5 linked regions of the Oryzias latipes genome follow. The protein of the gene in region 2 binds, or shares a complex with, the protein of the main gene of each other region. Links are inferred from orthologs where the notes say so. Each region holds a gene or a part of one and is shown on either strand. Other genes may lie near its edges. The genes, in order: baz1a, pole3, pole4, pole and chrac1.

Evidence for each region.
Region 1: pole3 (region 2) and baz1a share a complex: the UniProt entries of both Homo sapiens proteins name them as parts of the CHRAC ISWI chromatin remodeling complex. The link is inferred for Oryzias latipes from reciprocal best matches to the Homo sapiens genes POLE3 and BAZ1A.
Region 3: pole3 (region 2) and pole4 share a complex: the UniProt entries of both Homo sapiens proteins name them as parts of the DNA polymerase epsilon complex. The link is inferred for Oryzias latipes from reciprocal best matches to the Homo sapiens genes POLE3 and POLE4.
Region 4: pole3 (region 2) and pole share a complex: the UniProt entries of both Homo sapiens proteins name them as parts of the DNA polymerase epsilon complex. The link is inferred for Oryzias latipes from reciprocal best matches to the Homo sapiens genes POLE3 and POLE.
Region 5: pole3 (region 2) and chrac1 share a complex: the UniProt entries of both Homo sapiens proteins name them as parts of the CHRAC ISWI chromatin remodeling complex. The link is inferred for Oryzias latipes from reciprocal best matches to the Homo sapiens genes POLE3 and CHRAC1.

What each region holds. Positions count from the first base shown.
Region 1 is NC_019880.2:2,516,300-2,522,305, forward strand, and holds the start of baz1a (bromodomain adjacent to zinc finger domain protein 1A), read right to left. Parts: upstream 3,729-6,006; 5' UTR 3,533-3,728; intron 3,243-3,532; 5' UTR 3,222-3,242; coding exon 3,109-3,221; intron 1,147-3,108; coding exon 868-1,146; intron 621-867; coding exon 441-620; intron 302-440; coding exon 203-301; intron 1-202. Other genes in the region: uncharacterized protein LOC101160205, read right to left, coding at 4,320-4,433, 4,511-4,601, 4,688-4,794. UniProt on the Homo sapiens protein: Regulatory subunit of the ATP-dependent ACF-1 and ACF-5 ISWI chromatin remodeling complexes, which form ordered nucleosome arrays on chromatin and slide edge- and center-positioned histone octamers away from their original location on the DNA template to facilitate access to DNA during DNA-templated processes such as DNA replication, transcription, and repair.
Region 2 is NC_019861.2:5,685,045-5,691,009, forward strand, and holds pole3 (DNA polymerase epsilon subunit 3), read right to left. Parts: upstream 3,756-5,965; 5' UTR 3,557-3,755; coding exon 3,491-3,556; intron 2,092-3,490; coding exon 2,006-2,091; intron 1,915-2,005; coding exon 1,796-1,914; intron 1,729-1,795; coding exon 1,553-1,728; 3' UTR 1,387-1,552; downstream 1-1,386. UniProt on the Homo sapiens protein: Accessory component of the DNA polymerase epsilon complex. Participates in DNA repair and in chromosomal DNA replication.
Region 3 is NC_019862.2:30,739,222-30,745,020, reverse strand, and holds pole4 (DNA polymerase epsilon subunit 4), read left to right. Parts: upstream 1-2,279; 5' UTR 2,280-2,451; coding exon 2,452-2,685; intron 2,686-2,821; coding exon 2,822-2,906; intron 2,907-4,202; coding exon 4,203-4,244; intron 4,245-4,356; coding exon 4,357-4,370; 3' UTR 4,371-4,527; downstream 4,528-5,799. Other genes in the region: serine/threonine-protein kinase NIM1-like, read right to left, coding at 730-751. UniProt on the Homo sapiens protein: Accessory component of the DNA polymerase epsilon complex. Participates in DNA repair and in chromosomal DNA replication.
Region 4 is NC_019867.2:13,280,616-13,286,555, reverse strand, and holds the start of pole (DNA polymerase epsilon catalytic subunit A), read right to left. Parts: upstream 3,442-5,940; 5' UTR 3,265-3,441; coding exon 3,197-3,264; intron 3,090-3,196; coding exon 2,954-3,089; intron 2,882-2,953; coding exon 2,801-2,881; intron 2,721-2,800; coding exon 2,676-2,720; intron 2,603-2,675; coding exon 2,510-2,602; intron 2,424-2,509; coding exon 2,269-2,423; intron 2,188-2,268; coding exon 2,043-2,187; intron 1,963-2,042; coding exon 1,882-1,962; intron 1,768-1,881; coding exon 1,660-1,767; intron 1,565-1,659; coding exon 1,454-1,564; intron 1,367-1,453; coding exon 1,281-1,366; intron 1-1,280. UniProt on the Homo sapiens protein: Catalytic component of the DNA polymerase epsilon complex. Participates in chromosomal DNA replication.
Region 5 is NC_019869.2:23,125,749-23,131,587, reverse strand, and holds chrac1 (chromatin accessibility complex protein 1), read right to left. Parts: upstream 3,573-5,839; 5' UTR 3,486-3,572; coding exon 3,333-3,485; intron 3,254-3,332; coding exon 3,127-3,253; intron 1,519-3,126; coding exon 1,439-1,518; 3' UTR 764-1,438; downstream 1-763. Other genes in the region: uncharacterized protein LOC101165652, read left to right, coding at 238-400. UniProt on the Homo sapiens protein: Forms a complex with DNA polymerase epsilon subunit POLE3 and binds naked DNA, which is then incorporated into chromatin, aided by the nucleosome remodeling activity of ISWI/SNF2H and ACF1.

The sequences.
Region 1 (6,006 bases), on a different chromosome or scaffold from region 2:
GAGTCGATTGAGTTTTTCGTTGTTTTTTTTGTTTTTTTAAATCGCCTGTAACAAAATATTCTAATTAATTCATCCAATCGATTTTTCGCCCAGGCCTACCAAAAACCAGACCATTCAGACTGCAAACCCTAGTTTGCATTTGGATCGGTGGTCACAGAACCTCTCTGAACCGGCAGAACAAACTCCAGGTGAAGCTCCTCACCTGATCTGATTGGCTTTGACGGTGAACGGCTCGCTGTGTTTGTCACTCATCATCCTCACGGTGTATTTGAACACAGAAGGACTCAAAGGCTTTTTTTTCCTGGAAAACAAACGCAGAGTTCAAACTCAAACCAGCATCTGATTCTCATTTCATTAACCGAAACTCAAATAAGGAGGAACATTTATTTTTCAAAGCTGGTTTTAGAGTTTTATAGCAGCACAGAATCTGCCTGACTGACCCTTTGACGTGTACGACGGGACTCTGGAAGGCGTCGTCCTCCTCATCGCTGTCACTGATGACGATGGTGTCCACCTGAGATGGGTCGGTGTGGCCGTTGGTGCCCGTTGCTCCGTTGGTGGGCGCCACTCCGTTGGCGCTGGAGTAAGGCGAGTGCACCTCCAGGATCTCACACATGTGCCTGGAACACAAGATTCAGTTCGGTGTCGGTGCCGAGGTTTCGGAGGTCAAACTACCAACCACAACAAGAACAAACAAAAAAAAAAAAAGTTTTCCCAAAAACACAAAGATTAAAGAACAAGAACACCAATTTCTTTATAATTTTCAGTCACAAACCGACAAATACGGTGAACTGAAACTAAAGCAGCATCTGTTACTATGAAAACTGTGCAGCCTGAAAAGCGATGCGGCACTTCCCCAGTGCGTACCTGGCCCCGTTGCGCCGGCTGACTTCCACCACCTCCCCGGGAAAAAAGCGGTCCTTGACGAAACCGTAGACGTCCTCGCAAAGCTCCACCAGTCGGCTGCGTTGGCTCATCGCAGCCAGGTGGAGGAGGGGCACCAGCAGCGCCCGAGGAAAGCTGCGCAGGCTCTGCCGCGCGCGCTGCTCGCTCTCCACCGCCTCCAAGTAGGTGAGGCCCGCTCGCCCCGTGAGCGCGCAGCTCCACACTAGGCTGTTGCAGAGGATGGTCCTCTCGAAGAACTCACTGTGGAAGGGAGGTACATGTTCACGTGTGGATATCCGCATACATGACAAAAGTTGATCCGAAGATTAGAATCGGCTCAAACTATTTACTGAAGCCGATTTCTCCACTTTCACTCATATTCTTTGACTTCTATGTCAGCATCTTAAACCTTTCAGAGTTCCTAAATGGATTGTCACACTGAACTGTCTTTAACTAAAGCTTAAAGAAAAAAAAATGATATCATCCAAAAATGAAACACTGTGAGGATGTAAAATACGTGAAAAAGGGCTAATATTGAGAAATCGTAGAAACTTAAATAGAACCACTTTAACCTCTATCGACCTGGCATACACAGGTCTAGTGAAAGTTTAAAAAATAAAATAAAAATGGCATCAAATTAAAGTTCGGGTCTTACGAAGTTAAATAAAAAGTCTGGATCTCTGGAGTGGAACTGAAACAAGTACAAACGTCAGCTGGATTTTGTTCACTACTCAGTAAATGTGCACCAACTCTCAGGATTTGAGGGCCAAGTACTAAATCGACGCAATTCTGGTCCAGAAATTCACAGTTTCTCTTTTAACACGATTATTTTGACGACTGATTTGACAAAATTTAATCTAAAGTGCCATTTTTCAGGAGGTATTATTATTATTAGAATGTATTTTACTTTGTCACTGAACATGTGTGAAATACAGTCAACATCCAACCGAGAGTGCAAATTATTGGTTTTAGAAGCAAAATAACATTTTAGAATTCTAACAATAAAAGAATTAAGTAAATGAGATCACATTGGTGCAATAAAGAAAGTATTGGATACTATGAAATAAATGTCACCAGTGGAGCAAATGATCAATAAATAACTTTGCATTAAATTAATTTAATGTAATTGTATATTTTACAAAGACGAATTTAAGTGCAAAATCAAGTAGATTCATACAATAAAGATATCGTATAACAATATGAACATTTTTATTTCATTCAATCAACAATTAGTATGATTTTTTTTGCTATTAAGAAAACAGCTTTAAGAGAAAATCATACCTTTAATTTTTTTTAAAAAATGTTTTTACACTGACTTTACTTTGTTTTTTAATAGTTCCAGTCCTGAGACATTTAATCCCAAGATGAGAATTTAAGGTTTTTGATTCAAATCAAACTTTGTTTAAAAAGCACTTTCATACATTGGCAACACAAAACATGTTTCAACTAAATGAAAAAACGCAAAAGCAAAACAGAAAAACGCCAAAGCAAAACAAAGACAAAAAAACAGGGGAAGAAAAACTTGTTTTGTATTTTTTGGTTTATTATTTAATCGGCAGATTAAACCTTTCGACTCCAATAAAGAGACAATCCGCCCAGACAGACGCAGCTTTGGTCTAAATCCTGTAATAACCGCGTTTCGGCGTGATTACAGCGGAAATGACACGTGATTAAAGCTTTTTATCACTGAAAACAACACTTAGTGAACGTTATGGTTGGTTCTGATAAACAAGCAGCGAAAACCCAGCAGGTCGTTTTTTGTGTCACCATCTTCTTCAGCTTTACTCCTGAGAAAGTACATCAACTCAAAAATAAGTGTGTAAAAGGGAAAATGTGGCTCAGAAAGGAGATTTTTTTCGGAATTTATTTTCCTGCTTAGCATCTCTAAATGGTGGAACGACTTTTACCGCCGTGGCGCGAGCGCGTTCGGCGGCTACAGCCGGATCGGTTGCTAACGGCTAACGAGCGGCTGACACTCAGGCGGCGTCGCTGCTCACTCCCGGTCAAAACTCCCGGCTCCTCCTCCTGCCAACAAACCCGGGCTGCCCTAACCGGCCACCTGCCCCACCGGCCGGTCAGACAGACACCTGACCCGCGGAGGGAACCCCCACCCCCCACCCGCAACAGCCTCCTCCTCCAGCCGGAAAAAAAAGTTAGCTTAGTTAGTACAGAAAGTTTCACGAACTCCCCGCCGCGGTTATCGGTGGCCTCGCGGCTACTCACTCGTAGGTCCGGAAGATTTCGTGGGTGATTTTACAGAGAAACACTTCTTCATCCGGCCGCAGGTCCGCCGGAGGCTTCTGTCGGATGAAGGCTTTCCTGTGGAGCAGCGGCATCTCGGGAGCTCCGCTTCTGCGCTGGAATAAAAAAGGAGGGAAAATCGAACAATTACATCCGAACTGCGGCGACACAAGAAAGCGGAGCGTCCGAACGGAACCGAAGTCTGAGCGCGGCGGAGTGAGGAAGAGGAGGGGAGCGAGTCTTTTGTTAGACGCGCCGATAATCTGCCCGCATGGATGTGTTCCTCTTGAACGTGAGAGCCGACGCGCTCGGTTATGACCCAATTCCACGCCAAACGCTCAGCACGCGGCTCAAATCCGCGATAAGAAGCTTTTCTGGAACTTTTTTAAAAATATAAATGTTTTACCAAAATGAGCTACGATGGAACGGCTCCCGCCGGTGCGAAGATAAAAGAAAGAGTCGCGGGCTGAGGCGACTCACTGGCGGCTTGTTGACGAAGTTTTATCCCACTTCAGACTCATTCTTCTTCTTCTACTACTACTTTGGTAGAGTGCATGAAACCTGCCTGTTCTTTACCGCCCCCTACAGGATGTCTCCAGAAAAACACCAGCTCTGTATGAATGAATGAATGAATGAATGAATGAACTGGATAAAAAAAATATTGACCTGCATGATCTTCTTCACTTCTCTCGAATCCAAGAACACTGACCCATTTAGTTTTTTCCTTTTATTTACATAAAAAACGGAGAATGGAGGAATTGTTCCAGAAAAGTGTGGTAAAATTAGTCTTTTTTTTACTGCAAAGAAGATAATGAGCTAGAATTTGCATGGAAGACAGAGAACAGCTTTATTTATCAGTTGAATTTGCATTATATATAAATCACTTTATGTGATCTGTTGAGTGTCTGTCTTCAGGTAACCACATCTGCACAAATGACTACATCAGCCAATTATATACATGATACTACACAGGTTCTGTCACTTGTTCCTGCACACGTTACTGTCCTCTGTCTATATCACAGGAGAACCAGAAGGGTGAATGTCTTCAGTCACATGACCTTGAACAGGTGTGATTGCCTGTCATTACTTGACCCCAGACAGGTGTGGCTGTCCTTTGTCACATAAACAACAAGTGGGATACTCCTTGTTCACATGACCTGGCACAGGTGTGTCTGAGGTATGACGTTCCTCGATCACATGACCCTGTACAGGTGGATCAGAGCGAGGCTTTCGGGGTCTGCATCTTTTCCCAGATAGACGTTGTGATCCACAGGAAGCTCCTCCAGCCATCCCGGCTGCAACTGAATCTGGAGAGGAGCAAAGAAATCTTGATGAGGACGATGTCATGAGGACATCAACCAGGTGTGGGTGATGCTGGTTTTACCTGGAGATGGTTCAGACTCTCCTGCAGACTGGGGACAGTAACCAGCAGACATCCTGCCCTCCTGAAGTTCTGCATGATAAAAGTCCATGCTCTGAAACCAAAGAACGCTCTTTTTAGAAGACATGCAGCTTTTTTTTTTTTTGTTTTTGTCTTTTTCGTGCCACTCTGTGTTTCCACCTGACTTGCTCGCTGGGCTCCATGAAGAATTCAAAGACATTGTTCATGATCAGCACATCTGCGTTCTGCAGCAGAACATCTTGGGTGCAAACATCAGCATGGAGAACCTGGACACAGCAGAGGAGGCGACTGTTTTTGAGAAGCTCTGGACTTGTTTGGAAGAAGGATGAACCGGAATTTGGGCATGAAATCAGTGTTGACAGGTGAAGTCTTAGTCCCACCTGCCTTTACGGGTGGATACGGGCCATCTGTGGGCGAAAAATGGTCGTCTGGGAAATGCAAGTGGCCCCCGTAGACCACTCAATGAAGGGCGAAAATGTTTATGCATTCTTTCTACAGGCATGCTGGGAGAGACGAGTTGTAGCAATCACTTAACATGTACAGGACAGACCAAAAGTTTGGACACACCTTCTCATTTTCTTTATTATCATGACTATGAAAATTGTAGATTCACACTGAGGCATCAAAACTGTAAAGTACCACATGTGGAATTATATACATAAGGAAAAAGTGTGAAACAACTGAAATATGTCATATTGTAGGTTCTTCATAGTAGCCACCTTTTGCTTTAATTACTGCATTGCACACTCTTGGCATTCTCTTCATGAGCATCTAGAGGTAGTCACCTGAAATGTTTGTCACTTCACAGGTGTGCCCTGCCTTATAAATGGGGTTGGGACCATCAGTTGTGTTGTGCAGAAGTCAGGTGGATCCACAGCTGATAGTCCTACTGAATAGACTGTTAGAATTTGGATTATGGCAAGAAAAAAGCAGCTAAGTACAGAAAAACGACTGTCCATCATTACTTTAAGAAATGTAGGTCAGTTAGTCCCAAAAATTGAGAAAACTTTGAAAGTGTCCCCAAGTGCAGTCACAAAAACCATCAAGCGCTACAAAGGAACTGGCTCACATGCGGACCGCCCCAGGAAAGGAAGACACCTCTGCTGCAGAGGATAAGTTCATCTGAGTCAGCAGCCTCAGAAATGGCAGGTTAACAGCAGCTCAGACTAGAGAGCAGGTCAATGGCACACAGAGTTCTAGCAGCAGACACATCTCTACAACAACTGTTCAAAGGAGACTGTGTGAATCAGGCCTTCATGCTAGAATATCTGCTAGGAAACCACTGCTAAAGAAAGGCAACAAGCAGAAGAGACTTGTTTGGGTTAAAGAACACAAGGAATGGACATTAGACCAGTGGACATCTGTGCTTTGGTCTGATGAGTCCACATTTGAGATTTTTGGTTCCAATCACTGTGTCTTTGTGCGACGCAGAAAAGGTGAACGGATGGACGCTACATGCCTGGTTCCCACCGTGAAAC
Region 2 (5,965 bases):
CAAGCAGCTTGGTGAGAAAAGAACAACTGTTGGGGCAATTGTCATAAAATGGAAGAGGCTAATGATGACTGTCAATGTCCCTCGGACTGGGGCCCCTCGCAAGATCTCACCTCGTGGGGTATCGATGATGCTAAGGAAGGTGAAGAATCAGCCCAGGACTACACGGGAGGAGCTGGTCAATGACCTGTAGAGAGCTGGGACCACCGTTCCCAAGGCTACAATAAGTAATCCATTAAAACGTCATGGTTTAAAATCATGTATCGCACGGAAGGTTCCCCTGCTGAAGTCAGCCCATGTCAAGGCCCGTCTGAAGTTTGCCAATGACCATCTTGATGATCCAGAGGAGTCATGGGAGAAAGTCTTGTGGTCAGATGAGACCAAAATAGAACTTTTTGGTCTTAACTCCATTCTGTGTGTTTGGAGGAGGAAGAAGGAGGAGCATCATCCCAAGAACACCATACCTACAGTGAAGCACGGGGGTGGAAGCATCATGCTCTGGGGGTGTTTTTCTGCACAGGGGACAGAACGACTGCACTGTATTAAGGAGAGGATAAACGGGGCTCTGTATTGTGAGATATTAGGCGTAACCTTACTTCAGTCAGAGCGTTGAAGATGGGTCGTGGCTGGGTCTTTAAGCATGACAATGACCCGAAGAACACAGCCAAGAAAACCAAGGAGTGGCTCCGTAAGAAGCATATCAAGGTTCTGGAGTGGCCTAGCCAGTCTCCAGACCTAAATCCAATAGAGAATCTTTGGAGGGAGCTGAAACTCCGTGTTGCTCAGCGACAGCCCCGAGCCCTGACAGATCTAGAGAAGATCTGTATGGAGGAGGGGGCCAAAATCCCTGCTGCAGTGTGTAGAAACCTAGTGAAGAACTACAGGAACCGTTTACCTCTGTCATTGTTAACAAAAGCTTCTGTACCAAATATTAAAGTTGTTTAACTCAAGTGATCAAATACTTTTGTCACAGTAATATACAAATAAATTGTTTTAAAAAATCATAGGTGATTTCTGAATGTTTCTTTAGATTCTGTCTCTCACTGTGGAAATGCACCTATGATGAAATTTTAGACCCCTCCATGTTTTCTAAGTGGGAGAACTTGCTAAATCACAGGGTGATTGTTGACCTCACTGTACCTGTGCTCCCCTTAAGATCCTCTACAACCCTCCACGAGCCCAGACAACCTAAAAGCCATCCGGGTCAGCCCCCGAACAGGTACGTGTGCTTTTGGGTCGTCGTCTACTGAACTGGTTCCAGGTCAGGTGTTTCCTCACCTGTCAGTTCAAACAGCCTGATGTGGTTGGAGGACTTCCGTATGATGACCCTGGCATCTGCTGCTGGAGGGCTCTCCTCCATTCACTTGTGGTTCAAGAACCTGTACGTTCTACTTGTATACAAAACATTTATTGAAACTACAAAAGAGTGTATCATGGGAACACCAAACCGCTGGCTGATGGAGAGGGGACTGCAGGAATGAAGCCGTCCTTCTGAGAGCAGTTTTTACAGTTTGTGAAGCCAGAGTCCGGTCTCATGTCGGACAGGTCTGTCTCCTCAGTTCTCCACCTCCTCTTCCCCCTCCTCGGTCTCCTCCTCCATGCGTTGTTCTTCCTCATCCTCTCCCTCCTCATCTTCCTTGCTCTTTTCATGCTCACAGTCTGCCTTCTTCTCTTTTTCTTTGCGTTTCTGCTCAGACACTTCCTTCTTTCCCTTCTGACCTTTCTTGTAGACTGTGGAGGAACACACTGTTAGCTGTTGGACAGCAGCATTCTGAGGCTGTGTGTTTGTGCGTCTGACCTTCTAGAGCCGCTCTGAGAGGCTCCAGGAAGCGTTCGAACTCCATCTCCTCCATCGCTGCCAGCACATCTGCAGCATTTAAAGTCTTCCGTTTGGCCTTCAGTGCAAAGTTATTGGCACTAAAAGCAGAAAACGGTCTTTATTTACGGACAGAAAGTGCTGAACGCAGAGTTTTGTGGATGGGGGGGGGGGGGGGGGGGGGCTTCTCACCAGGAGGTTGCATACAGCACAAAGACGCTGGCGGCCTGGGAAATGGCTCTGCGCGCCTCTTTGGATACGTTCACCCCATCTGGAAGCTGTGGGAAAGCAGAGCGTTAGAGAATCAGAACCGTGGCGGCAGAAACCAAACGGTTCAGAGAACCAGAGATCCGGATCACGGAACTGCCGGTGGATCTCTGCCAAAAACCTGCAGAGCTGAAAAGCACAGGACTGTTGAGAAACGCATGAGCAAACTCCTTTGGTGTAGCGTTGCAGTGCCACCATGTGGCAGCAGGAAATGACATGTCTGTTTAGAGAAAAGCATGCTGGGAAAACAAACAGTCACACAATTCTGTTTTCTGCACAGACACATAAAGGTGTACATCAAACCATAATACTGATGTCTCATAAAAGTAATGTAAGATTTTTGGTCTAGATTTTGATTAAGCAAATAGCTTTTTCCTCTAATTAGTAGATCACCATTCCTTTGCAGTACTAATTAGAACTCACATTTACTATCACCTCATTTCACTGCATATTATTTTAATAATCCACAACTGAGATCTCACAATCATTAACGATTGTAGACGCTTGTAGTGGACCAGTCCAAAACTATACAGAAAAACAAACGAAAAGACTAAAACTATTGTCAGTAGAAGTGCTGTATGAAGTACTAAGTGGTACTATGAAGCAATGGTGAGCTATTTATTATAAGAACAGGTTTTAAGGATTAAATACTCTGTATTAATACTATTTTTAGTAGTACTACTAATAAATGAAGGAATGATCATAACTCAAATCTGCTAAGTGATGTTAGTGTCACGTCTACTCACATTGGAGTGATAGATTTACTCAAAGACTATACAGTAAACCAACTAATTATTTGAGGGGTATTGTACTAAATAGTACTATGGAGGATCTGTGAGCTACTAATTTGAGGAACAGGTTTTTTTTTAGGTTAAACTCGGGCAAAGAGGCTACTTGTGTTTTTTTCGGTACTGTCATTTTCATGTACTGCAAACGGCCATCACGTTATTTGTCTCTGTTGATGCTTCTCCACCGCTTCAGTGTAATCTCACTCCTACAGTCCAGTGATGGCTGACATGACCCCAGCATGCATCCAAACAAGGCAAACTCCACACAGACGGGATTTGAACCAGCATGTTCTCACTGTAAGGGGAGAGTGCTGACCACTACACCACTGTGCAGTACGCTGGAAACTAATGACTTCTTTTTTTTTCTTTTTTTTTGCATCATGTAGGTAATGAATGACATAGCATGAAAAGCTAAATTAGTTTTTACAAAAAATACAAGTTAGTGAATAAACTGCTGCTTTAATCTTTTAATGAACGGACGTCCAGGCAGCGGGAGCGCCATCTTTGTTTTGGTTGCACACATTTAAACTTCGCCGTTGCTCGGTAACGATCGTTCAGGTGAGTCCGGCAGCTCCGACACTCGTCTTGCCCTCTGAGCTCCTTCCCGGGGTAACCAACTCACCGCCTCCTTGATGATGCGCGTGATGACCGCGTTAGGAAGGTTCAGATCCTCCGGTTTCTCGGCCATTCCTCCGCTCGCGCGGAAAACACGCAACTCTGCTCGGCGCTGAGCTCACCTCTTTGACTGAATGGATTCGCACGTGCGCTAAAGGGACACGTGCTGTCAGATTCAGCCTAAAAGCACTGGCGGAAACGCGTTTTTGTTTTGAGACGTTTCCCGCGAACCTCCCGGAAGGACGTCATCAGAGAAATTGCGACCTCCCGCCTTTTGTGATGTCATTTCCGTTCAAGCCCAGTTTTTTTAAATGAACTTTATTGACAAATATTGCAAACACACTGTATGTCACACAGGGACAAACAGGAACACCTGTGTCCGAATTACCGCCCTAACCCCTATCTAGTGCACTATATAGTGCGGTCGCCATTTTGTAGGGGGGTCCGAATAAGTAGCAGAGAACACAAGTGAAGAAACGACAGTTATTTTTTTTTGGTTTTGGTTTTTCCGTTTTTTTTTTTTGTTTTTTTTGGCAGATGTCGATGACTTTAGCTTTCACATCCTCTGTGTTGTTTTCCGGAACCCCGGCCGGCCTCAAGTTCCATCTTCGAGAATAACGCTCCAGCTCTTCAATGCGACTTTCACAGGACCCCATGCGCTGTTCCCCCATTTTAACCTGGGTGTCAACCTCCTTCATTTTAGTTTTCATTTCCTTCAGCCCCTCCGAAACGAAATCAATGGGTTTTTTCAGACCTTTGATTTTCATACAGCTCTCCCTCACTATCTTTTCAAGGGAATCAGATCTTGAATTGAAGAGGAAAGAGAGTTTGGTAATAATGCCTTCAGGATCTTCCATTTCAGAAGCTTTACCTCTTTTCAGTAGTGAGGACTTCAGTGGCGTATCAGGAAGGGGGGTCAAAGTGAAGTCGTTAGCTTCCATTGAGTCATCTGTTGCAGCCGTTTGGTTAGCATAATTGTGCGCGTCTATAACACAGCCTTTTGTAGGCAGACTATCTTGCTCTTTTCTTTTCTTTTCGGGTTTTGGCATGGTGGTGATATAAGATTGCTGTTGTCACAGTCTTTTTAATGTTGGCTTTAACAAGGCTTTCTTCCACAACAGTTTTTTTTACTTGACCTTACTTGAGGTTGAATAATTACGGAGCCCGTGACCTGACAGGGGTAAAAATAATATACTATTCGTTTCCTGGAAACAATAATGACCTTTTACACGCCTGCATTTTCAACCGGAAATAAACTGAAATGCTTCAAGTTACACATTTACTGTCAACAGGATAACTGGTTTAAAGCAATAATATGAATGAAACCTATATTACCGCATTGCATCATTGATGTTTTCATTGACTATAGCAAAGGTGATGACTACGCAGGGTGGCCCTGGGTGAGCGGCTGGATGGCAGACAGACAGCCGCTTTCTGCCGCCGGAGCGGCATAGTGATCTCCGGCGGCTGAGCTCGTTGGCTTGTTATGCCAGCACAGACAGTGCGCTGCTGTGGGATGGGCAGGCAGCCAGCTCGGGTCTCCTTACAATATCTTTCATATTTTCATCGAGACAATAATAAAAAAGATCCCCTAGTTTGATAGTCGTTTTTATTGTTCCCCTCTCAAACAAAGAGATACAGAAGTAGCGGCGGAGAGGGGTTGCAGCGGGATGGGGCTCACATAGCCGAGATAGACTTCGAATGAACCCAGACATGGAAAAGGCTTGTTTTCAAAACTCAGACACAAAAACCTCTGGAAAAAGAGAGACAACAGCTGCAGGAAGAAAAGTCCACCCTTTTACAAGAACCCACTCACCTAAAGGAGGACGTCTTTAGACTAAAAAGAAAACTTTTGGTCAGAGGTTTCTGAGCCTGTTTAAAAAATCTAGAAAAAAAGACCAAAAAATTAAACAAAAGAAGAAGCAAAAAGAAATGAGGGAGATTAAGTACACTATATTACCAAATATTACATTTGAACTGAAGTGGTCTATTTTTAACCCATAGAGTTCAGTTTGATGTGGGTCCACCTTTTGCAGCTGTTACATCTTCAACTCTTCTAGGAAAGCTGTCCACAAGGTTGAGGAGTGTGTTTCTAGGATTTTTTTACCATTCTTACAGAAGTGCATTGGTGAGGTGACACACTGATGTTGGTGGAGAAGGCCTGGCTTTCAGTCTGCGCTCTAATTCATCCGAAATGTGTTCTATCGGGTTTAGGTCAGGACTCTGTGCAGGCCAGTTAAATTCATCCACACCAGACTCCATGTCTTTACGGATTTAGCTTTGGTCACTGGTGCACAGTCCCGCTCCAAACTGTTCTCACAAGGTTGGAAGCATGGAATTGTCCAAAATGTTTCTGGTATCCTGAAGCATTCACGGTGCCTTTCGCTGGAACTAAGACCAGAAAAACAAGCCCACACCTGAATTCCTCCTCCACCAAATGTCACACTCGGCACAATGCATTCCAAAATGTACCGTTCTCCTG
Region 3 (5,799 bases), on a different chromosome or scaffold from region 2:
GTCCTGGAATGGCTTGGATTACTTGCTTCTTTTAGTCTGAGTATTAGTGAGCCACTTCTGTTTGGAGAAAGCCATTCAGACGATTACTTGAGAAAACCTGAAATAAGGTCACAGTCAGAAACCCCTTAAGTCATAAATACAGTAGCATATGAGTATAGCACTGCTGTCATTTTGTCCATAAACCTGGAAATAAATAAAAGCAATAACTGATGTTTCAATATTTGCATTTCACAATAAAGAATAAAACGTTCTGGACTCTCTGTGAAGATAAAAAACTTAAATCAGACGACCTTTTGAAGTCTTTTTCTACTTCAGAACCATCCTGGATGGATGAGAGTTTTAATAGACAAAATGTTTTCACTATAAGTTTAACTCAGATAAAATAATGTCACTTGTTTCAACTTTACAATAAACTCATCCACCGAATAAGTAAATGCATGAATTGAAAACTGTCCATTTATAAATCTGAGCGTTATTTCTATAAAATTAATCTAATTTGCAGTTGTCATCGACTGTATAGCATCGAAGAAAAACTTGTAACTAATGTTGAAATGCAAGTTAAAAGCATTTGATGTTCTTACAATTACTTTTGCTTTTTATTAAATATGACAAATAAGAAAAATAATGCAACCTTTAAACAATTTCTAAGCAAGTAATGAATCACATCCAACCACTTTTCACTGTTAAAAAAATAAATTAAAAAAGTAGATAAAATTGCTTTAAAGTTACCTGGATTTTGTGGATCCTTCATCTCCGTCGCGGCCGCTCTAATACCTGACTGTGACCAAACGTGAAGGAGCTTCAGAGGCTCAATCGCTCCTCACAATCCTATTAATGCAGTGTATTAGGGAACTGCACATCATGTTCTCCGGAACGAACTGTCCCTCATGGAAAACGCTGAAATGATCATTTCAATGCCTGAACCGCAGTCGATCACATTTATGCACTAAAGTCTGTTTCTTACTGTGAAATAAAATCAGATGACCTCAGAATGAGGCAGCACCGGATCTATTCTTTTTTTTTTAAAGTCAAATACATGAACACAAAAACATCCGCAGCAAAAGAAAAACATGTGAAAAAAACATTACATCATTTAAAGAAATTATATACATTTCTTTTTTGGTTTTAAATTTAAAAAATGGGAAAAATGAGAAAAGGGGTTTCTGTCCTCGTCATTTATTTTCTTTACAAAAAAAATTAAAAAGGAATAAATCAAGCGAATATATATTTTTAAACATATTTTTAAATTAGACCCCAAAGTTGAGGAGAAGTTATATCTACCTGCAGCCCCCATGTATAGCAATCAAATGCAGTGTCGTTAACAGCCTGCAGGGCGGAGCTCTTCGGAGTGCAAAGTTAAAAAAAACAACTGCAAAGTTTCTTGTTTCTAATATTGGCATTTGAACATATTATCTGTCATTTCCTAAGCATTATTCTATACACAATAATTCTAAAGGAAATAAGAGGCTGCAGAATTGTATTTTGTGTGTCTGAGCAACAGAAAACCAACATTTTTATGTTTATACAATTGAAATTAAAATGGCTAAATACAGTCTGTTTCATTGCAAAACACTTTCCTCTTAAAAAAAGGTAAAGAGTTTAGAGGCAACAGCACAGCAGTTCTGATAAAGTCTTTTTTCTTTTCTTGAGTAAAAAACACATGTTTAAATATAGATGCTCAATAAAATGACCAAAAAAAAGTTAAAGAAATGTCTTCTGACAACATAATTGAAAAATATTTACAGTTTTCATAAAACTTAATTTGCGTTTTCTTTGCAACATTTTAACTTTTTTATTGGGTATGCAAAATTAGGGGCAATGTACAGTAAGGAAACTTTAAATAAAAACAGATTAAATGAAAAAATAAAATACATAATAATCAAAAGAAAAGAGTACCAGATATTTTCAAACCGTTTTTGTCAGGTAGTTTCGGGAGTAATTTTTAAATTTCTCTTTGTTTAGATTGTTGCTTTTAACAGCTTTATATTTAGCTTCACTTTGCTGCCACCTTGTGGACATTTTGTTTATTGGTGTTTTGTTAATTTATTTTTAACCCACTTTTTTCTTTTATCTACTAATCTTAATGAAAAGATTAAATTATATTCACCAAATTTATTTGAAAGAGTCTTACAGCTGATAAACATTTGACTGAGCCACTGAGTTGTCGGTAGTTGGGCGGTAACATTGTTTGAGTGGCAGTCACGTTTGACCAATCATACGGCTTTGTTGTCCAATCTGTCCAATCATTGACTTGAAAGCGTTGGCGGGACCAAAGGAAACTGACCAATAGGGATGCAGTGCCTCTACTAGACCGGAAGCACATGCTGGCGCGCTGCTGTTCGCCTTCGTTTGTTACTTTTATCTTTGTCATGAAGTTAGAAAGCTTAATAAATATCCGCGCGTCTGTTTTTTGATCACTTTTTGGTGGGGGGGAAAATAACTCCCCGTTCAATGGCAGCGCTCGTCTCCTCTACGGAGCAGGAGTCTGACAGGTGCGGGAGTGAGGAGGAGAACCGCGGAGTGGAAGCGGGGGACGGGGGCCAGCAGCAGCAGACGGGTCCCGCCGCACCCGGCGGCAGCCGCCTGTCCAAACTCCCGCTGGCTCGCATCAAAGCCCTGATGAAAACCGACCCAGACGTGTCCCTCGCCAGCCAAGAGTCTGTGTTTATCATCGCCAAAGCCACGGTGAGTCCCTGAACCCGCAGCCCGCTCCGCGAGGAGAAGGTTCGGCCCCGCACGGCACCATGGGATGCTATGATGGTCAGAGGTGATGATGATGATGATGATGATGATGGTGATGTTTCTCTCTTCTTCCTACCAGGAGTTGTTCGTTGAGATGATCGCCAAAGATGCTCTGGTTTACGCCCAGCAAGGGAAGAGGAAAACTCTGCAGAGGAAGGACCTGGGTAAGGCCTGAGGACGCTCCACATCTCTGCATTGTGCTCGATATTTGCCGAACTAGTGAGCATCATTTTCGCAGAGACTTCTGGGAAGTTTCTAGGGCACTGGAGTTTGGAATTGTAGGTTGTGTCCAAATTCCTTCCCTACTCACCAGATAACGCATTCGCCATGTTGTAGTGCTGTCTGAATCTACAATCTCCCAAATCCAGAGTCCTAGAAATTTCCCAGAAGTCTCTGCCAAAAACCAGCGTGCATCAATGCTCACTAGATCAGCGAATATAGACCACAATGCATTGCGTCGGAACGATTTTTGCCAAAAAATGTATTTTTTGTTAAACTATCAACATTTTTATCTTCAGAAGACATAATAAATAATCGTCATAAAACGCTCATATTAATTAGATTTTAACTTTGTGGAATCGATATTTGAAGCAGTGAGCCTGGTCTCCGAATTTCTTTTCAAATCCAGGGCACTACATAGAGCCGCTCTATAGTTTTTTAGTAGTTAGGGGTTAGGGCGGGAATTCAGAAACAACCTATAAATCAAACCAGAGTATAAGTCAAATAATAATGATAAAAAAGAAGAAATAATTATGTAGAAGTCGCACTTTGGGGAGAAATTAATTTAACAAAACACGGTAAAAAATACCAGACATTTCATCTTAAAATAAATAGCAGGTATAGACTGAATATTTACAACTTCACTACTGTAAAAGTATTTAGTTTGATGACAAATAGGAGGAATCTATTCAAATTAGTGAAACATATGAACAGTTGTTCAGATAACCATGACATAAAGAACATGCTAACAAGAGCGGCGTAAGACTGAGCGGCGCTTCTTCACTGTCAGTAACAAACATCTACAGAACACATCTGGCTCCAAACTCTGGATGGCTCCAATATCGCTCGCCATTTCTGTTGCACCGCTCATGCTAGGTTGAGGGGCTGTATGTAAGAGAGTATGTAAACAGAGAACTCTCAGACACGGTTAGGGAATGGGTTGCTATGGCCCAAGGCCCCGCCCACAACTCGCAGGTGAATTTCTACTGAACTCCTGCCACTCTACAGAAAATATGTCCACGAAACAACAAACAAACAAAAAACGGCATCATTATAATTGAAAGACGGTTTTGAAAATGGATCAACAGATGATCGGAGTGGGACAGTAGAATAAACAAATGAACATTAAATTCATTAAAATTCAAACATATTTAGTTTCTTTTTTGTGTTTCATTTGACAAACTTCAGTGGTTTCTCCTCCTGAGTTTCATTCGTTTGTTGTTGTTTTGTTGTCCCTGCAGACAACGCAATAGAGGCCGTAGACGAGTTTGCATTTCTTGAAGGTAAAAAAACCCACGTTCTTTCTGCACATGCATGTTACTGACAGCGTGTGCACAGGAACATTTCATTGACATGTTTGTGCATCCGGTAACTGTATCATTTTTTTCTCTGCAGGCACGCTGGACTAGAGACGACCGGCTTGACGGGCGGCGCGAGCGAGCGAGCGACTTCCTCCGGTCCGTTTGTGCAGAGACAAAAAGCTCTTCTGCTTAAGGACTCGTACATATGTACACTGTTGTGTAAATATTTTTGCTAAATTCACTGAAATAAATGCGTTTGAAACTACCGGTTTATTTCTAAAGTCATTCCTTGCTGCATTGTGGGTAAGGTTGGTTGCCAGCATCTTAAAATACATTTAGAATCGTTTTGATTAATAAAGTTTGAAGGAATTAAATTCTTGAACATTTTATAAAAAGAAAAGAAAACAACAGGTTTGTATTTTCAGACAGTCACAACATGATTCTGATTCATTTCCTTGATAAGTTTGTGTTTTCGGAAAGAAACAACTAAAAACTTCCTAAAAGGGTTCAAATCTAAACTGTAAACACCTAAACCTTTATGTTTTATGGACGCTGGATCCTTGGATGCCAGTACTTTATATTAGCTATTGTGAGTCGAAAGTATATTTGGGCTGAGAACATACATGTTTATGTGAAATAAACAGGCCGTCATAGTTTTTGACTTCAGAGTAAAGTCCTGAAATATTGGAATATTTGTTTTTAAAATGGGAATTGGTTCATTTCAAGGAAACAAAAACTTAAGAAAACACACAAAATGATAGATATAGATAAAACTAACTTAAGACAAGTCATGAACTAATAGTAATATAAAAATTACAGAGGAAAATAATAGAAATGCATAGTTTTAAGTATACAAGCATGTGTAAATGACATCATAAATATAATAATTTTCTTCCATACATATTCTACATGACTCATTTAATAGGATAAATATAGACTTTGGTAAATTGCTTAAGGAATGGGGCGAGGAGGGTTCATATTCCAAATAATAGCAAAGATGATTCCAAAAAAGACAAAATACATAATCACTTCAAGTAATAATAACATAAGGTGCTTATTGATTATGATCAGAAAAGATGATTAAATGAGTCCAGAATTCACGGCTGAACCACATGTGGTTATGATGTTAAATGAATGGTTCATATAGAAAGTTCATGAAACATTCATCCTTCTGGATTTTAATGATTTCCCTTTTATCTGTGAAAGCCTGAGTCAGGTGGAACCGTACAAAACGAACATTTTATTGATAGCAAAGCTGGTGGGATCTATGTGGTCTAGTTCTGCTCAATAAGTCGCAAATTTATCGTTATGGTGATATCTATCTGTGCAATACGCTTATCGCAAAAGATGGCGAAAATCACAATAAGAGGATACCGGTACTTGAAATGTGCTTAAACAAACTTATGGCACCTTGAAGTATTTAGTGAATCAAATAAATCCATTTACGCATTTGACCAATCAGATGAAGCCCTTTTATATTAGATGTTCACCTCCTATGCAGACTAGTTTCATTTGAAGTATAATTTAAGTTATTTTA
Region 4 (5,940 bases), on a different chromosome or scaffold from region 2:
GCTGTCCACGTCTTCTACAAGCTCGCTCGTGGCTGAGCAATCCAATATGGGAAAGGCAGATCCTGTAGCAGAGGCTGCAGGTGAAAGTCTGTTCTGGATTCGGTGCAGTCGTGAGGCCGGCTATTCTCATTTGCCGTTTGTCTTTTAGCCTAGTCCGTCGCTTGTCTTCAAAAGAGGAGACAGCGTCTTTGATGTACTGGCGCCAGGTGTCACGGTCTTTTGCCAAAGTAGACCACTGACGATGGTTGATGTTACAAGCACCAAGGGATTTCTTAAGAGAGTCTTTGTATCTCTTTTTTGGTGCCCCTTTATCTCGCTGGCCTGATGCAAGTTCGCCATACAGAGTGATCCTTGGCAGTCGGTGGTCCTCCATCCTGTGTACATGCCCAGCCCACCGCAGTTGCGACTTAAGAAGCATGGCCTCTATGCTTTGGATGTCTGCCCTCTCGAGGACTTCAACATTGGTGACAAAGTCGCTCCAATGGATGCCAAGAATGGTGCGTAGACAGCGCTGGTGGAAACGTTCGAGGACTCGCAGATGGTGCTGGTAAGTGACCCAAGACTCAGAGCCGGAAAGAAGGGTGGTCACCACAACTGCCCTGTATACACTGATCTTGGTGGGTTTTTTCAGGTGCTTGTTGTTCCACACCCGACTGTGGAGTCTGCCAAAGGCACTATTCGCCTTGGCGAGCCTGTTGTCTAACTCTTTGTCGATCCTGGCATCTGAGGTAATTGTGCACCCCAAGTAGGTGAACTGCTGGACAGCTTTTAGTTCTGTCTCTCCAATATAGACATGGGGAGGCTGGTACACTTCCCGAGGTACTGGCTGGTGGAGGACCTCTGTCTTCTTTAGACTAACTTCAAGTCTGAAGAGCTTGGCAGCATCTGCAAAGCAGGAAGTTAGTCGCTGAAGTGCTCTCTGGGTGTGAGCTAGGAGAGCTGCGTCATCAGCAAAGAGGAGGTCACTGATCATTTGCTCACGGGTCTTGGTGTGAGCCTTCAGTCGTCTCAGGTTGAACAAGCTGCCATCGAGGCGGTAGCGAATGTACACGGCATCCTCGTCATCAGGGCCATCAGTGGCTTGCTTTAGCATCATGCTAAAGAAGATCGTAAAAAGAGTGGGTGCCAGGACACAGCCCTGTTTTACGCCGTTGATGATGGGGAAAGTGTCTGAAAGGTCGCTATTGAGCCTGATCTGGCCGCTCTGGTCTTCGTGCAGCTGAACAACCATGTTGAGAAATTCCTCAAAATTCTGTGCATATACTGACACACAAACTCACCAGTCAAAGAAGTCTCCGTTGTACGTCACAAAGATGTTTGGTTTTGTTTCTTGAACATGATCAAACCACCTCTGTATGAGAGCAGCCTGCAGCCAATGAAAAGAAACAGTATGTTTTTCAAGGACCTGTAGACCTGCAACTGTTGTTATAATTACGATGTGAGAGCTACGAACCTCATTGTCCTCATTGAAAACAGTGAAGGGCCCTTCATATTCAGGTTTGGGGGTGAACTCAAAATCCTCAATGTTTTCAGAGACAATCTCTCTGTTTGTAATAAGGAACCCCTGAGGAGATAAAACAGGGGTTGGTGTGAAACAACACAACTTGAAAGATTTTTTTTTTTAAATTTGTTAAAAAAACCATTTGAAGTTGAACACACCTGCCCGTCTATCATGTAGGAGATCATCATAATCTGATCACTCTCTGCATCTGGGAATTTCAGAGGAAGTTTGGTGGTTTCGATGTCAAAGGCCAAAACAACTGGATCCTGTAAGAAGATTTCTGTGAAACTTATGAACTAAAGACCCCAGAATGTTATTTTGTATGAGCAGAAATTATTTACAGATACCGTTTTAAAAAAGGAATATAAAAATCTTCTTACTGGTCGTTCCACAAGATCGTCCCTGCGGATAATCTCTAGGGGATAAGCGTTGCTTCTGTAGCGAACGTTGTACCAATGAGCCTGAACGAAGTAGAGACACTAAATGAAGCAAAGCCAGATGTCCAAAAAGTAAATACAATTTATTGTCAAGTTCTTCTTACAACGTGGATCTTAAGGTCGATGGACAGTCGGACATGGTAAGGCACATCATACTCTCTCATGTCCACCACATTGTCTAATTGATCGACGATGCTCTTTGACATCCCGTCCTCGTCTGCTGTGGTCACACCGACTCCAGACAACGCGCTAAAGCAACAACAAAGCAGAGAAACGTCTCCATCACACTCATCTTAAGACGGGAGATCAGCTTAGAGGAGCTGTTGATACCTCGACAGCATGGAGGTGTACTCATCATGCGACTGCTCCCTCTCTCTGTTCTTGCGCACGGCAGGAGCAATCTCCCGCTTGACTTTGATGAGGTCATCCACGGTGTTGAACGACAGCTTGATGTAGTTTCTCTTCAGTCCAACGAGATGGTTTGGCTGGGTAAAGCAGGTGTTTTTTTTTCTTTTAATCCACTTGACTTGATTAAAACCAAATCCACATTGATTTTTTTTTTTAAACTCACCAGATCTAGATCTTCTTTTGGAAGCATTTCAAGTTTGGCCACTTTGCCTTGAAACTTCTTAGACAAGTATGATATGACCTCTCTTTCGCAGTTCTAGGAATAACAAAACCCGATTATGCTCTTTCTTTACACAGAAAAGATGCTAAACTAAGTTAAAAAAATGTACCTTTTTTGTAGCAATATAAAAATAAGGCTTGAAGGGAAGGGCCACCTACAGACAGTAAATATCACAAGGTAAATATTAAACTAAATATTTGAATAATCAAATCTATTTTTAAAGGTTACACTAACCTTAAACCTGCTTCCATCCTCCTGGATGAAATAATAATCCACAGCGCTGATCATTCTTTTGTCCTCATCCAGGATCTCTGTCTGTAAATGAAAAACAGTCAGTGTCCTCTCCAAACCATTCCCTAAATCGCGGCAGACTAGAAGTGGACTTACTGGGTGCATGTTGATCAACCACCCGGTTTTCTCCCCCGGTTCCTTCATCCTGTCGAATCCGAAGCGAGCGTCCATGTCATCGGTGAACTGACTGCGCTCCAGCCTCTTGAGGGCCGACATCGAGGACCCATCATCCCTGGTTTAGACACATAAGCATCATAGCATTTTTATTTCCGCCTAATAGCATACTTTGTCGGTGGATAAACAATAAATCAAGAGCTGCCTGGTGAAAAAGCCACTCACTGGTTTTCCTGGTCTCCTCCATTCGGTCCGCGGTCCGTCCTGTAACGTCCACTATTTTGAAGAACCATTTTCTATGTAATAGTTTTCCCTACTAAAAATAATGTCAACGAGTAGTCTTTTTCCAATGGTAGAATAATTCACATTTGATAAGTTTAGACGCTTGAAGTTTATGTTCCTGGTTCCTTCGGCAATTTTGCAGGTAGGGTTTGTGTTTTTCTTGCTTTGGCGCGCTCTTGCTGTTATCGCGAGACCAAAACTCAGTGAAAACAATCGTTTATTAAAGAGAACATTCACTCCTAATTTATTCGTTGTTTCAATGTTTCCTTTCGGGTGATTTGGCTTTTACAGTTCATATTATGACAAGAAAAAATATTTATCTTTCAGATAAAAACAATGAAAACGCTAATAATAATGAGTTTATGTAAAACCAGGAAATTTATGACTAAGATTTTTTTTTTGACAACATTCAGATTTTCCGAGAGAATTTGCAATAAAGAGGTGGTAAAAAGTGGACCTATGACGCTTTTCAGTGATTGTACAATTAGTTTTGTTCTTGACTTGAATTAAAGAGAAATGGAGTGTGACTTCTGACAAATGTGCGATCTTTGGAGATTTCTTCTTCCTCTTCTTCTTCCTGGGAGGAGCCTCACTGTAACCCCGCCCCTCCTTCTCATGTGCATTTGTAGTGTTATTATAACCTGCTGAAGGAGGTGTTGGACGGCGGTGAGTGGATGACACAACGTGCAGTGGTTGTGGTAGGTGGCCTTGACCCGCATGTAGCCTTCAGATCGTAGCTGATTATGTTGTTTCCTGCGCTATTCGAATGTATTTCATATTTGCACATTTCCTGTTAGATAAACAAGTCATTTGTTCCTTAATTCAAATTCCCAGCTTTGTTAAAGCATCAGTCACATTTTTATACTCTAAATATTATCTTTTTAAGTAATAAGGTCAAATAGAAAGAAACATACTAACAAATAAGTTGTAATGCTTAAAAAATAATTTACATATAAGGACACAACTCTGAATCATAAAAAGTATTTTAAGAAAATATGTTAATGTATTTTTTAGGGAACATATTCCTCCAGTTGACATAAAACCATAAATATTTCCTTTTTTTTAAAACTAGAAATTCAATGAGATACTTTTCTAAGAAATTCCAATTTGTTGTGCATGAACTGCAAATGGTATAGCCCATCATTTTTACAGTTCTTCTCGTGTGCATCCATATGTTTGTAAAGGCTGATTGCATGGATGTTTCCATTTCAGTACAAAATACATTCTGTCCCTCAGTATTGACCTTTAGCCTGCATTGAGGAGCCACCCTCAGCTCCGATGGCAGCTGTTCCTCTCAGCCTGTTTACTGGAGCCTTGCTGGGGAATGTCTCCTGCCAGGACCCGCTGGCACCGTTAACCCCACATACCTATAGAAACTTTGTGTAAATCTGTTTAATCCTACGTAATGTTTAAGCTGATGTGAGGGTGTTATCTTACACTTTTTAATCGTTTCTTTACTCGTCACTGTGCACTTAAAATGTCTATCCTCTGAAGCTGTTTCTGTGTTCACATTCTGCTCGCTGTCCAAATAATAATGTGCTTATATCTGAACTGCAAGGGACACAAATGTAACACGTCAAGTTGTCTCAATACATTAAAGGCCACAACAAGGTCATGAGGTCCCCTAAATTAAACATTATCAGTTCTTTACATCTTAAGCCAAGTAAATATTTGCCTATTAACTATTTTGATTTAAAAAAATGTAGTAAATTAAAATATTGCCATTAGAAAATGTTGACTTAATTTAAAATCGTAAATGATTATGTGACAGAAAAACTGTCAATTAGTAACTTTAATGAATATTATGACTATTGCATAACTGTATTAACTACATCAAATTAAATACCTGGTAATGCAGTACTTTCATTGTTTTCTAGTAAGATTCATTTACTGGTATAAATTACGGCTGACGTTCTCATGCGTGAACTTTCCTTGAATGCTTTTTTTTCCCCCCAGACTCCACTGGTCTTTGAAATGATTCATTAGATCAGTTTTGGGTTTGCATGTGTGGCTCTCTGATACACTTGTGACCTTATTACAGTATACCTTGCTTATTCCACCTCATTTAACACAATAATGTAGATGTAAAAGATTTATAAATCTGACTTAAGGAAGTATTTTTATTCACAAGTACATGTCTTATAAGATTCTGCAGCCAGCAAATGTGTGACGCATCTCAGAAAATAATAACACTGCTATTCTTTTCATTTTTTATGAATCTTACAATGATATTGGTACTTAACCTTAGTTTTTATTTTGTAAATAGATAACAAAAAACAAAACAATACAAAAAAAGAATTTAAAGAGAAGAAGGTCCCTATATGCTTTTGTGCACTGTAAGATTTAGCTTGTTGAGCTAGGTTCATTCACAGTTGTTAACAGCAGATACCATGAGTTGCAAATATGAATACTTTGCCCAAACGTTTATGAACAGATTTGTTAATTCAACTTCACAACACTTTAAAAATGGAGACAATATGCCTTTACAAAGATGTCCACAAGAGGGCAGCAAAGACTCTCAACACATGTAAACATCTTGTGAACATTTGTCTTGTCGATTCATACATTTTAACTTTAAAACTTTTAACCTTGAACCCCCCCCCCCCCCCGGAAAAAAATTAATAAGGGATGTAAAGTATCAGACTTTGTTTAATTTGAGTTAAGAGTCCTTATAAAACTTTAAAACA
Region 5 (5,839 bases), on a different chromosome or scaffold from region 2:
TAATCTTGTGTTTTAACGTGTTTTAGTTTTTGTTTTCTTTATTTCCCGTGTTCAGCCCTTTGTATCAACTGCTGTTGTTTGAAAGTGCTATATAAATAGAATTGACAACGTTAACACTCAACATTTCCAACCACCTTTTAACTGATGGAACATGCTGTGCAACTAAAACTGGACAAAAATCGTGATTCATCAATTAAGTCTATAATGGAGTCCCATGTTTTCTTTTATTCTGTTCAGAATGAAGCAGCATCTTGCCAACACAAGGGACAACATCTATGACAGGAGTGCTGTTGCACACCGCCTGGAGAGACAGTTCTCCACTTTAGAGAGAACCCTGCTCAACGCACAACATCGAATCGGCAAACTCTTTATGCCTGCGCTGAAGAGCCCTTACTTATGAACCACTGTATGTGCATGTACGTGTTGATGGATTCTTCAGAGTAGGCTTGCTGTTTGCAACTTCTGTCGGCAGAACACCTAAAACCTGTCATTAAGATCGTGAAAATGCAGCCGATAAATCTTGCTTCATATTGTATTGATTGTGTTAAATACAGAGATTTTGTAGCGTCATTGAACATGACGCAACTGCTCTACTTGTAATTCTGAAAAGAGAAAAAATAAAAGAAAAAAAGTTCAATTCTTTTCCTTTTTATGTACATATGTAGATTTTTTTTCTTTTTTTCTGAGAAATATAAATAAAGATGTAATTTACAGCTGACAGTGACATTATTGTATCCTCAAAATTGAATACAAACAATTTCTCAACATTCAGAAAATTTTTATGAGTCACTTGGACATGAAAAAAGTGGGGTTTTATTTTAAAAAATGAATATACATAGGGGATGTTTTTAAGATAAAAATATTCCCCATCTACTGATGGGGTTTGGGACACATCTTCAGCTTCTTCTACAATATGCAGACATTTGTTACCATAACCACGTCGTCTTATAGGTGGTTAAGTCATGTCAGATTACGTCTTAGAACAGGACATTAATGCTGGACAACAAAGCATTTGTGGAGTTGTGTTTTAAGGTGGTAGCGAATGTTTTTGCCGCAATTGTGTGTAATGGATTTCCAAGTTTCACTTCAAGTCCATGTACATATTTTACTAAAGCACGGTAGAAAATATGAAGCCAACTATCAAAGCCAAATAAAATAATCTTTGCTAAAACCGTAAACTTACAGCCAAGTAGATTTGTCTGACGCTGAACAGTGTGAATAGTAACATTTGCTTAAATTAATTTCAGCCATTCTTAAAAGACATTGTGTGGCATCTATAATTGAAAGTCTTCATTTCTAATCTTAGAATTATCTTAGTTTAATATTATTTCCAACAAAAAAAAACAACAACACATGAGCTGATCTTACTTAAAAGCAGTAAATGTCTTTGGGAAAGCCCCTTTTGAGTAAAAAAATATTCAAACAGATTAGCTTATTCCTATAAATCCGCATCTTCCTCTTGCATCTGTTCCAAAGACTTCAAGTAATCCCGAGCCAAGATCTTCTTGGGCAAAATATCTGTCAAATAAGAGAGAAAAAAAGTTAAAATCCACATGTTAACACCTTCATTACCCATCCTTCTAGGGTAAAAGCCGAATGCCTTCCAAGCCATTAGCTCCCTACACATGGAAGAATATGCACCATTTGAGAAAAAAGCAAAGACTCAGTGTTTTGTGATTATCTGTACTTAATTACAAATAGGGATTCTGTTCCCACCCATAATGCAGTTATTAATGGCTTAGAAACCCTGTCCAAACTGTGGATACCCCTAAGACATGAGTAGTGTAATACAGGATTAAACTTTAATACCCCCCCCCCTAGAATATCAATTATTAACTTAACAAAAGGTATACTATCTTAGCTTTAATAAGTTTCTGTAATGTTTTATTAGGATTTCACATTAAAAATGTCCTAGTCAGTTAGGGGGGTAAAGTTCTTGAAAAATTATTTTATATTGTCATGAGTTCAAAGAAGATATAAACTAGCACAGAAATGAGGACATTTGTGTTTTGTAGATTTACTAATTGACTGGTTTACTAAACAAAAGTCTTATAACTGCCATCTTGGTTGACCTGCTTTGCAGCCTGTCTCTGACATCTCTAGTCCTATCAAACTTGACCTTTAGTTTGGAGATGGTTCCGGGCTTGTTTTTGTTTTGTTGTTTTTTTTATAGAGGAAAAAAAGCTTCAAGTTGCCCTCTTGCATGATCTCAACAATCAACAGATCTGTTCAAATGATTACAACAGAAACCAACGTGTCATTAAGCAAGACCAATAACCACAGGTGCTGCCAATTATGCACCTGTGGTTACCTGAAGCTCAAAATAAGTCAGTAACAACTAAGACAATTAACGATTAATTGACTTTATAGATAAATCCATTTATCTTCCTATGATCCAACCAGATTGATGCATCTGGGGCAGGTGGTTAAGCGAATTGATCTATGCCATTATAAAATAATTTTAAAATAAAATAAATTGATAATATACTGGTATTGGAAAATACCATTTGGATTTTACATTATCATATAATGTAAAAATGACTGAGTGGATTGTTGGAAATGATCAAGCAATCATTACAGTCCAATGTGTGGAAACAATTTGATTTTTGCAAAGATGTGTGGCCATACAGAATGGTATGATGTTCTAATAATGTATTATTTTGATGTGGAAAAACAACAGTGGGCAGAACTTTAGGGAAAAAATGTGAATGGATTTGCCCTTAATTCTTGTTTACTTCTTTGTTTAATCACATATGTAATTTATAATACTTGATTACCTTGCAAGAAATACAAGGAATCTGTAAAACTACATCGCCGAGTCACACTGGTTGAAGATTTGGCTAAAGAAGTCAATGAACCGGATTGTTCAAAATGAACCAATATCCACTACGAACCACTTATTATGATATGAATTGAATCATTGTTGAAATGTTTATATGAGCTGTTATGTGAGGTGTGCAGTTAATGTAAGCTGTTTAGCTTTAAAAGTGAAGTTTTGGGAGGTATTGTAAAAGTCCAACTTTTAGACTGACACACAAACGCATCTTCTTCAATATGGCATCGTGTATGGGTTTCCAACACTTTAAGAATAACTCAATACAAAGGGATGGAAGGTTGGTGTCTCACCTGTGAGAAAGTGGAAAGTCTCGGTCTCTTCTGCGGTTTTCGCCAGGTCGCTGTATGACAGCGAGTTCGATTCCTTCCCACAGCCGTTATTGAACGAGGACCGAGCCAGGTGCTGGACGAACAGCTCCTGCAACAACACAACCAAGAGAAATGCTAACGATGCTAGACACTCGAATGAACGGAGCTAGCATGAAACTGCAGCTTACTGTAGCCTTGGTGGTGAGAAAGAGAGCGTCTTGGTTGATGCTGGAGACATCTGGAGAGCTTTTCATGATCAACCGGACTCTAGAGATGGGCAGAGAGATTGTCTTTTTAGCGTCTAACGCGGGGTCGTCTTTTTCTGGACGGTTTTGCGACATTTTTACGAAGCTGTTGCGCGACACAGACAAGCAGAACCACAACTATTGTTGTGGATACGCTGCTGGTTTCTTCCTCGTGTTCATTTGGTGTTTGTCAGCTTTTCAGATGATATAGCGCCATCTACTGGAATGGAGTGGAGTCAAACTTTTTTCTTTTTCTTTTTTTTAAATCATGGATTGTAAAAACAACAATGTAGCTCATTAATATTTCTATTGCGCTTTGATACTAGACTTCAAGTGGTATAAAGCACTACTTAATAAACACCTGTTAAGCTCTTGTGTTTACACCACTGAAGCTCCCAAAGGAATTTTCCTAATTTTCTTCCTTCTAATGCCTAGTTTGTATAATAAACAACTACCATAGAAAAATGATTTAAGACTTTCTTTGGCAAACTGATTACATTTAGGGATGATGTTGAGCTGATTCAGAAATTTGTACGGTGTTGCCATGGAAACCGCCATCAGAATAACTGACCAAAAATATAAACGCAACACTTTTGTTATTGCTCCCATTTTTTAATGGTATGAACTCAAAGATGTGAAACATTTTCCACATACACAAAATAACCAGTTCTCTGAAATATTGTTCACAAATCTGTCTAAATCTGTGATAGTGATGAGCACTTCTCCTTTGCCAAGACAATCCTTCCCACCTCACAGGTGTGCCATAACAAGATACTGATTAGACAGCATGATTATTGCACAGGTGTGCCTTAGACTGGCCACAAGGAAAGGCCACTCTGAAATCTTCAGTTTTGTTTTATTGAGGGGACTCAGACAACCAGTCAGTCTCTGGTGTGACCACCATTTGCCTCATGAAGTGCGACACACCTCCTTCGCATAGAGTTGATCAGGTTGTCTATTGTGGCCTGTGGAATGTTGGTCCACTCTTCTTCAATGGCTGTGCGAAGTTGCTGGATATTGGCAGGAACTGGAACACGCTGTCGTATACGCCGATCCAGAGCATCCCAAACATGCTCAATGGGTGACATGTCCGGCGAGTATGCTAGCCATGCAAGAACTGGGATGTTTTCAGCTTCCAAGAATTGTGTACAGATCTTTGCAACATGGGGCCGTGCATTATCATGCTGCAACATGAGGTGATGTTGTTGGATATACGGCACAACAATGGGCCCCAGGATCTCGTCACGGTATCTCTGTGCATTCAAAATGCCATCAGACGCCATCGCATGTGAGCTTTTGCCCACTTAAGTCGGTTACGACAACGAACTGGAGTGAGGTCGAGACCTCGATGAAGACGACAAGCATGCAGATGAGGTTCCCTGAGACGGTTTCTGACAGTTTGTGCAGAAATTCTGTGGTTATGCAAACCGATTGTTTCAGCAGCTGTCCGAGTGGCTGGTCTCAGACGATCTTGGAGGTGGACATGCTGGATGTGGAGGTCTTGGGCTGGTGTGGTTACACGTGGTCTGCGGTTGTGAGGCCGGTTGGATGTGCAACAGAAACAGCTCTGGTGGACATTCCTGCTATCAGCATGCCAATTGCACGCTCCCTCAAGACTTGCGACATCTGTGGCATTGTGCTGTGTGATACAACTGAAGATTTCAGAGTGGCCTTTTCTTGTGGCCAGTCTAAGGCACACCTGTGGAATAATCATGCTGTCTAATCAGCATCTTGATATGGCACACCTGTAAGATGGGATGGATTGTCTTGGCAAAGGAGAAGTGCTCTCTATCACAGATTTAGACAGATTTGTGAACAATATTTCAGAGAACTGGTTATTTAGTGTATGTGGAAAATGTTTCACATCTTTGAGTTCATACCATAAAAAATGGGAGCAATAACAAAAGTGTTGCGTTTATATTTTTGGTTAGTGTACATTTTTGCCAAAGTGAACATCCTGGACAATAGGATAGTGGATTTTTTTTTTTAAGGATTTGGGAGTTCACCCAAGCTACAAACTGTGCAGGTGTCACAGCAACATGACTATCTGTACAAAAAAAAAAAAGAAAACAGTCCTAAAAGGAGCTAGAGCACACAAAACAAATAAAAATACTGCTTAAGAAGGTCAGAACTGTTTTGAGCTGTCAATTAAAACCTGTAACAGAAGACAATAGAACATTAAATTGGCCCAATTTCCCCATACAGTGCACTTTTGAGGCTCTGAGAAGCTTGTACTGTGACAGACTGATCCATCCATTAAGGCTTGCTTCCAAGACCAACTCCCACTTCTCCAGGGCAAGAAAACAATTAAACGTAATACCAACTCCAAATTGTAAATTTCCTAAAGTTATTTGTACAGTTCTGTTTACGATCTTTCTTAAGTACATATTTATATTAAAAATGTTTATGTTTAAAGGAAATTATAGATATGTGGTGTATATAATTTTTAC